Cricetulus griseus: one gene and its partner. The protein of the gene in region 2 purifies or fractionates together with the protein of the main gene of each other region. This does not show direct contact. Links are inferred from orthologs where the notes say so. Each region holds a gene or a part of one and is shown on either strand. Other genes may lie near its edges.

Region 1 (3,566 bases), on a different chromosome or scaffold from region 2:
ACAAATAAATGCATGTTTCTGTATGTGTCTCCTTGTAAACATTAAGCTTGATAAGGGTACTAATTGTGGTCTCCCAAGTACAGGTGGTAGGAGCAGTAGACGGGAATGTTCTATAGGAGAATGAGATTCAGGGATGGCCAGAGCATTTTCTAGACCTCCCAGAGACTTGCAAATAGCTGAGGTACACTCACTCAACCTCCATTTCCATCCACCCACCTAGCCTGGAATAGCCCCCCAAATTCCTATAGCCTCAGGCCTTGGAAGGATGGAGTCCATAGGAGTGATCTGGAAGGGTGCTCAAGGGCCTCAGCTTAGCCTGGGAGCTTTCTAAGCTGCTGAGAAGTCTGGGGTGGCTATACTTTTGGAAGCATTTGAACCTCCCTCCTGTGGGTAGGGTGGGCATGGGTCTCTGGTACAATGCATGACCTCCCTTGGGCAGGCTGTGGAGGAAAGACTGAGACCCAAGCTTCTGGCAGAGTAACAAGAAGACAAAAGGGGCTGTAATCTATGGAAGAGGCTATGCAGAAGCACCATCCCTCTAGGGTTGAGGCCTGAGAGGTTACAGACCCCACAATGCCCAACTCAGCCTCCCCTTGGAGTGCCTCAATGTAAGCCGCAGCATTACTGGTACCACCACAACTACCTGTTCCTCCCTGTCTAGCCTTCCTGAGGAAGGGACTGCTTCTCCTCTAAGGCCACCAAAGATAAGATTTCACTGAGGTAGTAGGTAGCAGCCACAACAGATATACTGGTTGAGGGGTTGTGCATACTGTCTGTGAGCTGGGGCAGTGTGAAGGCAAAGGTGGAAGCTTTCCAGGTCCCTGGCACCTGCTTTTCAGGCTGGGAAAAAGCTCTCTGTGCTGTGCTGTGTGTGTGTGTGTGTGTGTGTGTGTGTGTGTGTGTGTGTGTGTACACCTGTGCCCAGAACCCTATCCTCACTTCCTCCCATGGGGCACATTGGGTCTTAGGCCAGGTGTTCTGTGCTCTGGATGGTATGATTGAGACTAGAAACCGAGCCCACTTGCTTGACAGAGCTTGTCATTGTGGAGCATAGGAAGTCCATTCTGCTGAGCTCACCTCACCATGCTGAGAGCTGGTTTCTGGATGAACCCCAGCCAGGCTAGATGTGGCTAGCTCTATTTTCACACCTTTATAATTGTTTTTTTTTTCTTTCTTGAGTCTGTCAACAATGCTGTGTGGCAGGCAAATAAGGAAACTGAGGCCAGAGGCGTGCCTTGCCTGTGGTCACTGAGTCAGACGTACCAGAGGAGCCAGCTTGGGTATCTCAAACTGGTGAAGGGTTTCTTCCCCAGCCAAAAGTCTGGATCTTAGATGTATCTAGACAGTGGCCACAGGGAGCAGGCTGTTTGTACCCTGTGTGCAGGCTTCCCTGCTTCTCTGTCATCTCCTGTTGGGTAGACTGGAGCCATGACTGAACCACAAATGCCCTGTGGGCTGTGGCAATTCCAGTGGGTGATGTCATGCCCAAAGAGGCCCCACCTCAGAAGCCCTTTCCTCCTAGGCCTGGCACTAGAGCACAGGCCTGTGGCTTCCAGCCAACTGGAGTCAGGGAGGGATTGCATCAGCATGGAGAGAGGCTAAGAGCCAGCCTGGCCGAAGGCCAGTCATGTACTGGGGCTGCGAAAGGACTTACCTTGCCATACCTGGGGAATAAGAGACCCTTGATGAGGTCTCAGCCATTCCCTGCCTGGTTTCCATGTGCTGTGATGACAGGCCACCTTGACCCCATATTTATGGGCATCAAAGCAGTGACCCTGAGCCAGTCCCTAATTAGCCTGAGGAGGAATGTGGGCGTAGGTGCCTGCTCTAAATGGGCAGTAGCACACCCCCCACCCCCAGTGCTGCAGAGAAAAGCAAGTAGCCTGCCAGCAAGAGTCCAGGTGCTGGGCCAGAAGCAGGCTGGGCTTGGGGTCTACAGGGTGTGGCTAAGCCCAGAGGAACTCTCCTGCTCTGGCTGGGCAGCCTCCTTAAGAGCTTTCTGTGTCTCCTCCCACAGGGGGCTTTGCCACCTTCTCCTCCTGCTTCCCAGGCCTCTGTGAGGGAAAACCTGCTACCCTACCATCCATGAGCCTCTCTCAGCCCTGCCTGCCTGTGCCCAGTGTGGGCCTGACCCGTATCCTGCCTCACCTCTACCTGGGCTCTCAGAAAGATGTCTTAAACAAGGTGAGTGCACAGGGTGTCACCGCTGATGGTGTAAAGAGGGGGAACCTGGAATCAGGTCCTAAGGTAGTCTGAAGTGAAGAGCAGGTGATAGATGAGTATGAGGTGGGAGCACAGGAGGAACCAGAGCCCCCAACTCACCGAACCACAGTATGGCCCAGGGAGGAACCCAGCGAGGCTAGGTGGAAAAGCAGGCTCCTGAACTCTTCTGTGGTGGGGCACTGGAAGCCTGCATGCCAAACTGTTTCTGTCACTGGGCCACTGGCCAGCTCTGAAAGAATCCCGTGTTTTAAAAATGGTGAGGAGGGAAAAGGATGAAGGCACCGCCCAGGCAACCATAAAATTCCTGGGAGCCCAGTACAGGCTGTAGGTGTGGCTTGCAGAAGCCATCCTTCCTGTGCCCATCCAGTGGTCTCAAAGGTTGAGATGGAGCCAGGCTTTTCCATATAGCAAGACCCTGAACAAAATCTGAGACTCAGAAGACTTTAGAGGCCTGTTCTGCAGAGGGGATGAGAGAGACAGACTTTCAGCTCTTCCTCTAGGGGGTGTTTTGCTTTTCTCTGCTACCCCATTCTGACCCATCTTCCTATCCCTCTAGGATCTGATGACCCAAAATGGAATAAGCTATGTTCTCAATGCCAGCAACTCCTGCCCTAAACCGGACTTCATCTGTGAAAGCCGTTTCATGCGTATCCCCATCAATGACAACTACTGTGAAAAGCTGCTGCCCTGGCTGGACAAGTCCATTGAGTTTATTGGTGAGGGAAAGGGAGGATGTGTCTGTCTCTATGGTGTGGGGGAGGCTGACTAGAGGAAGACTGGATAGAGGCAGAGGGAGTACCATGTTTGGGGCCATCCAGCTCTGGGAAGTCACCCACACTGTCTGTCAGAGGGAGGGAGGGTAGGAGCCTACCTTGGGTAGAAGGAATAGTGCAATCTCAGCCCTCACCTAGTCCCCCACCATCCACCTGTCCCCAGATAAAGCCAAGCTGTCCAGCTGCCAAGTCATTGTTCACTGTCTGGCTGGCATCTCTCGCTCTGCCACCATCGCCATCGCCTACATCATGAAAACCATGGGCATGTCCTCTGACGACGCATACAGGTACTCTTCCCCTCCCGGGCTCTGGGGACCTGGAACTCCTCAACCAATGGCTAACAGCATTGCCCTCCCTTCCTTTCTCCACCCACTTAAACGGTACAGCCTATTGCCCTGGCAGGGAGGGAAAACTGGAGCCCAACACAAAGCTTGGGTACAGGGGGAAATCGGTCACAAGCCTGTTCTGACAGGAGTTTCTCTTGCTTGCCCAGGTTTGTGAAGGATCGGCGCCCCTCCATCTCGCCCAACTTCAACTTCCTGGGCCAGTTGCTCGAGTATGAGAGGAGTC
Region 2 (4,304 bases):
AAAAACAATCTTATTTTACATATCAATCCCAGTTCCCTCTCCCTCCCATTGTTGCTGGCATCTTAAAGACCAAAATAATAACTCATTAATTTTTCAGTTAACTTCTTCCTACCTTTCACAGGGTGAGCATATCAGTCACATTTCTCCCTTTTTTAGTCACTGTGATGGAATGCATGACACAGCAGCTTAGGGAAGAAAGGATTTATTTTGGCTCATGCCTTACAAGGGTACAGCCCACCCTGATGGAGTACACAGTGGTATGAGCCTGCTGCTGGGGTTCCTCAGTCTCCACAGACCAGGGAGCCGTTGGTGCTGGAAGCAGTGAAACTGTTACCCTCAAGTTGTCCTCCAGCAACCCACTTTGTCCAGCCAAGTCACACCTCCTAAAGGTTCTTCATCTTCCCAAACAGCACCCACTTCTGAGGACCAAGCCCATTGGGGGAATCAGCCTGCTGTCCAAACCAGAAGAAAACTACTTTCTGAAGCCACTGGTTTATAGCCATATTTGTGAATATAAGTAGAGTGGAGATAATTATTTTACTGTGAACTGTAGCTGAGCTTGGGGTACAGGGAATGAAGGCCAACTCTGGCTCCACCTTCGTGAAACAGGTTCATCTGTGGGACACACACTTCATACCAGTGTCTCTAATCCTCAAGACAGCCTGTTATACTGGCACAGGAGTCTCACTTTGTGGTTCATCATATTAGCCTGGATCCATACACCTAGATGCCCAGTTCTTGCTGTCTCCAGGACCTCTAGAATCAATCATTCTGAAATAATGCTCCATCTCTAGCTGAGATTTCTACACATAAGCTGGTTCCCCAAGAAGGAAATGGATGAGACACATCAGTGACATAGTGGGCTTACCATGGCTGGGAATAATGTGTAAATGTTTTCTGCTGAAGTGGATCTTTCTCCACCCCTTCATACCTGTTTTTCCTGTGAACTCAGCTTTATGCATGCTAGCACTCACTACTGAGCTGTATCCCCAGCTCCAACAATTTATTATAATACAGTCCTTTAAAAATGTGGCCTTCCTGCATCTCAAAATTCCTTTTCAGGGCTCAACAATCCTTTTCAGTGACTCAACAGTTAAGAGCACTGACTGTTCTCCCAAAGGACCCAGGTTCCATTCCCATCACCCACATGTGGCTCACAGCTTTCCAGGCATGCACATACATGCGTGCAGACAAAACACCCAAATGCATAAAATAAATGTTAGAAAAATTTTGTTTTAATTTCTTCTTTTGAAGGTCTTACACCACTGAAATGTCTGGGTTTTTTTGTTTGTTTGTTTGTTTGTTTGTTTTTGTTTTTGTTTTTTTTTGGATGTGCCCTTGCTTAAATTGAGATCTTGGCCAAGCTGATTTTCCCATCTCATAGCCATACCTTTACATTCCAGCAGATCGGACCCACTATGAACTGAGATCCTAGTGTACAATTTGGTAAGCTCATCAGTTCATTCTGTTTCTCTCCTTAGGGATCTGACGAAGGTAGCATCTCTTCAGAATACTGTATGACACTACATCATGAGTGACAGTAAAAGTGATGGTCAGTTTTACAGTGTGCAAGTGGCGGACTCAACTTTCACTGTCCTAAAACGTTACCAGCAATTGAAACCGATTGGCTCTGGAGCCCAAGGAATTGTTTGGTAAGTCTGGGCGTTCTAATAGCATAGACTAAGTCTCTAGTGAAAAGTAAAACTAAATCATAGTTTAGAAACACTGATTGAAAAAATACCCCCTGTTGTAGATTAGATTTTGAGCTAAACTAAATCAATCCTTGCTATAGTTATATACAGTCATTTATAGGATACAAACTCAATTTTTCTTTTGCTTTGTTATTGGTTTTATTTATTTATTGGTTTCTTTTTCTTTGTTTTCTTTTTTATTTGCCCTGTCATTATGATATCAGAATAATTGGTATTCAGTGAGGTGTAACTGGAATTTGGCGTTTTATTCATTTCTTCATCATGGCCACCTTCTCCCCCCTCCTCCTTTTATTCCCAATCACTCCTATTCATTTCCAGGCGCCATCATTGCAGTGCCTTGCCATTCATTGGCAGGATGAGGCCAGGCAGTGTCATTATCACACCATGGATTAACCAGGAAGGGATGCTGTGTGAGGGGTTGGGCTGGCCGTCTCTTCTTTGGTGTCTCTCTTCAACTATGTGTCCAGCCCAGGACGTCAGAACCATTGGTCTGACCCTGAACCTTAGGCTCTTGCATGGTAAGACAGTCAGCTGCTGCGACATCACTGGCCAGACAAAGGTAACGTTTCTCACGTGTTTTCTAGACTACCGTTATCAGCACCTCCCAAACTTTTTAGACTGTAGTTTTTGGATGAGACCCCCCTCCCTCCCCAGTGATAAACAAGGTTTTTTTGTCTTTAAAAAAATTGTGATTACATAAAACATTTAATGTTTACAGCTGGTAGGCAAAGAGGATTGAAAATAAAAGTCCTCTTCTGGGCATTCCAGGAGGAGAGTTTTGGTTTTCCTGTGAAGATGCTGAGCATGGCATCATCAGTGGGCTTCAGCTGATACTCCACTGCAGAGACTCTGATCAGGGAAATCTGCTGTTTTCCTTAATGTAGGCAACTGGGGAGACCTGGGTGCTCAGAGAAGAAACTAGGGAAGAAGGTGCTACATGGAGGGAGTGCCAGCTGTGAGCACATAGTGGGGTGTTAACTTCCAAGTGACAGTGAGCACTAGTACAGGCAGAGTGTCCTTTATCTGAACTGCTCGGAAGCAGAAGTGTTTCTGAGCTTAGATTTTAACTTATTATTATTATTATTACTATTACTATTATTATTTTTTTGATTTTTTGATAGAGGGTTTCTCTGTGGCTTTGGAGGCTGTCCTAAAACTCACTCTGTACACCAGGCTGGCCTCCAGCTCACAGAGATCTGCCTGCCTTTGCCTCCTGAGTGCTGGGATTAAAGGTGTGCACCACCAACGCCTGACCTGAGTTTAGATTTTTGTCACACTTTTCAATATTTGTATTTACTGGTGGACATCTGTAATCCTGAAAAATGAAATGCTCCAAAATCCAGTACTCCGAGTACCACAGTAATGCTCAAAAAGCTTCAGTTTTGGAGTGCTGAGATTTTGAATTTACTCTGAAGATGATCAAACCAGATTTAAACCCTTGTGACAAGAAAGGTTTTAAAGTCAGTGGGATGGCTCAGGTTGTAACGTGGGTGGTAATAGAAAGTAATGAGTGTTTATTTGATATGTAAACTCTTTCTTACTTGGAATTAGATAGTAATTTGACAAGAGGATGGAGGAAGGGGGGATATGAATTATCTTGGAGGGAGGTAGACAGAGCATCCATATTAAATATGGGCTTCATTTATCCACTGGGTCCATTATTGACTTGTTTTTGAAGTTTAAAAGTGAAGTAGATAGTATATAGTATATAATTACACAAGATCTGCCCTGACAGTCTCTGTATATGTGATGTAGTTGAGGACTAGCTCATTGACTTGTTTTTGTCCCATGGGTTTAGGGATAGATCTGGGTCTAAACCACCTGTTGATCTCTTGGAACTTTATTGCACTTAGTTAGAACTTGATGACTTGAATCACTGACCAGGACTCTGACCTAATTTTTGTTTAAAATCTTAATAACAATGACCAAATCAATATTCATTAAATACCTCTTTAGAAATTCTCAATGAATTATATCCATCTCCATAGGTCGATTACATCCAAGAACTGTTTAGGGCTAGAGAGGAGGCTCGGTGGTATAGTGCTTGCATAGTATATGGAAGTACTTGGGTTCCTTGCTAGCACCAAAAACCTACATACATATGTAAGCATACATACATATGTACATATATACATACAGACACTCAGATATATGTGTATGTATATACACAGGTATATGTATTCATACATATTTGCATATATATACACACACCCATGTATACATATGTATACATACTTTAATTTTGTAACTGACAGTTTTATAGTATGTTCTAATATAGGAAAGTAAAACCTTCAGAAGTGATTGTACTTGTCCCCCACTTCCTCTTTTGTTTTTATCCTTTGCCCAGATGTATGGTATCAGTTAGGATAGGGGAATGATCTGGTAATGGTACATTCCTATTAAAGCAAAACAAAAAGTTTACTTTTGCTAAAATAAGTTCAATATTGGATAAGCTGCTACCTTGACAATAGGAACTGGATTTTCTACCACTTATCATTAAGAGCTAGCCATTTTTCTATTAATAGTCTTAAACTTTTTGTTAGCATTGTACTTGTACATTAAAAATGTCCATTGGGGGCAGGAGAGATGGCT

What was found. Proteins that work in one complex are often made in the same cells at the same time.
Region 1: the proteins of Mapk9 (region 2) and Dusp8 purify together in Homo sapiens (affinity purification with mass spectrometry; 4 studies listed by BioGRID and IntAct, with this or other methods). This does not show direct contact. The link is inferred for Cricetulus griseus from reciprocal best matches to the Homo sapiens genes MAPK9 and DUSP8.

Annotation. Positions count from the first base shown.
Region 1 is NC_048596.1:59,099,958-59,103,523, forward strand, and holds part of Dusp8 (dual specificity protein phosphatase 8), read left to right. Parts: intron 1-2,017; coding exon 2,018-2,184; intron 2,185-2,779; coding exon 2,780-2,939; intron 2,940-3,159; coding exon 3,160-3,283; intron 3,284-3,489; coding exon 3,490-3,566. UniProt on the Homo sapiens protein: Has phosphatase activity with synthetic phosphatase substrates and negatively regulates mitogen-activated protein kinase activity, presumably by catalysing their dephosphorylation.
Region 2 is NC_048600.1:64,316,933-64,321,236, forward strand, and holds the start of Mapk9 (mitogen-activated protein kinase 9), read left to right. Parts: upstream 1-1,463; 5' UTR 1,464-1,530; coding exon 1,531-1,652; intron 1,653-2,030; exon of another isoform or gene 2,031-2,227; coding exon of another isoform or gene 2,228-2,271; intron 2,272-4,304. UniProt on the Homo sapiens protein: Serine/threonine-protein kinase involved in various processes such as cell proliferation, differentiation, migration, transformation and programmed cell death.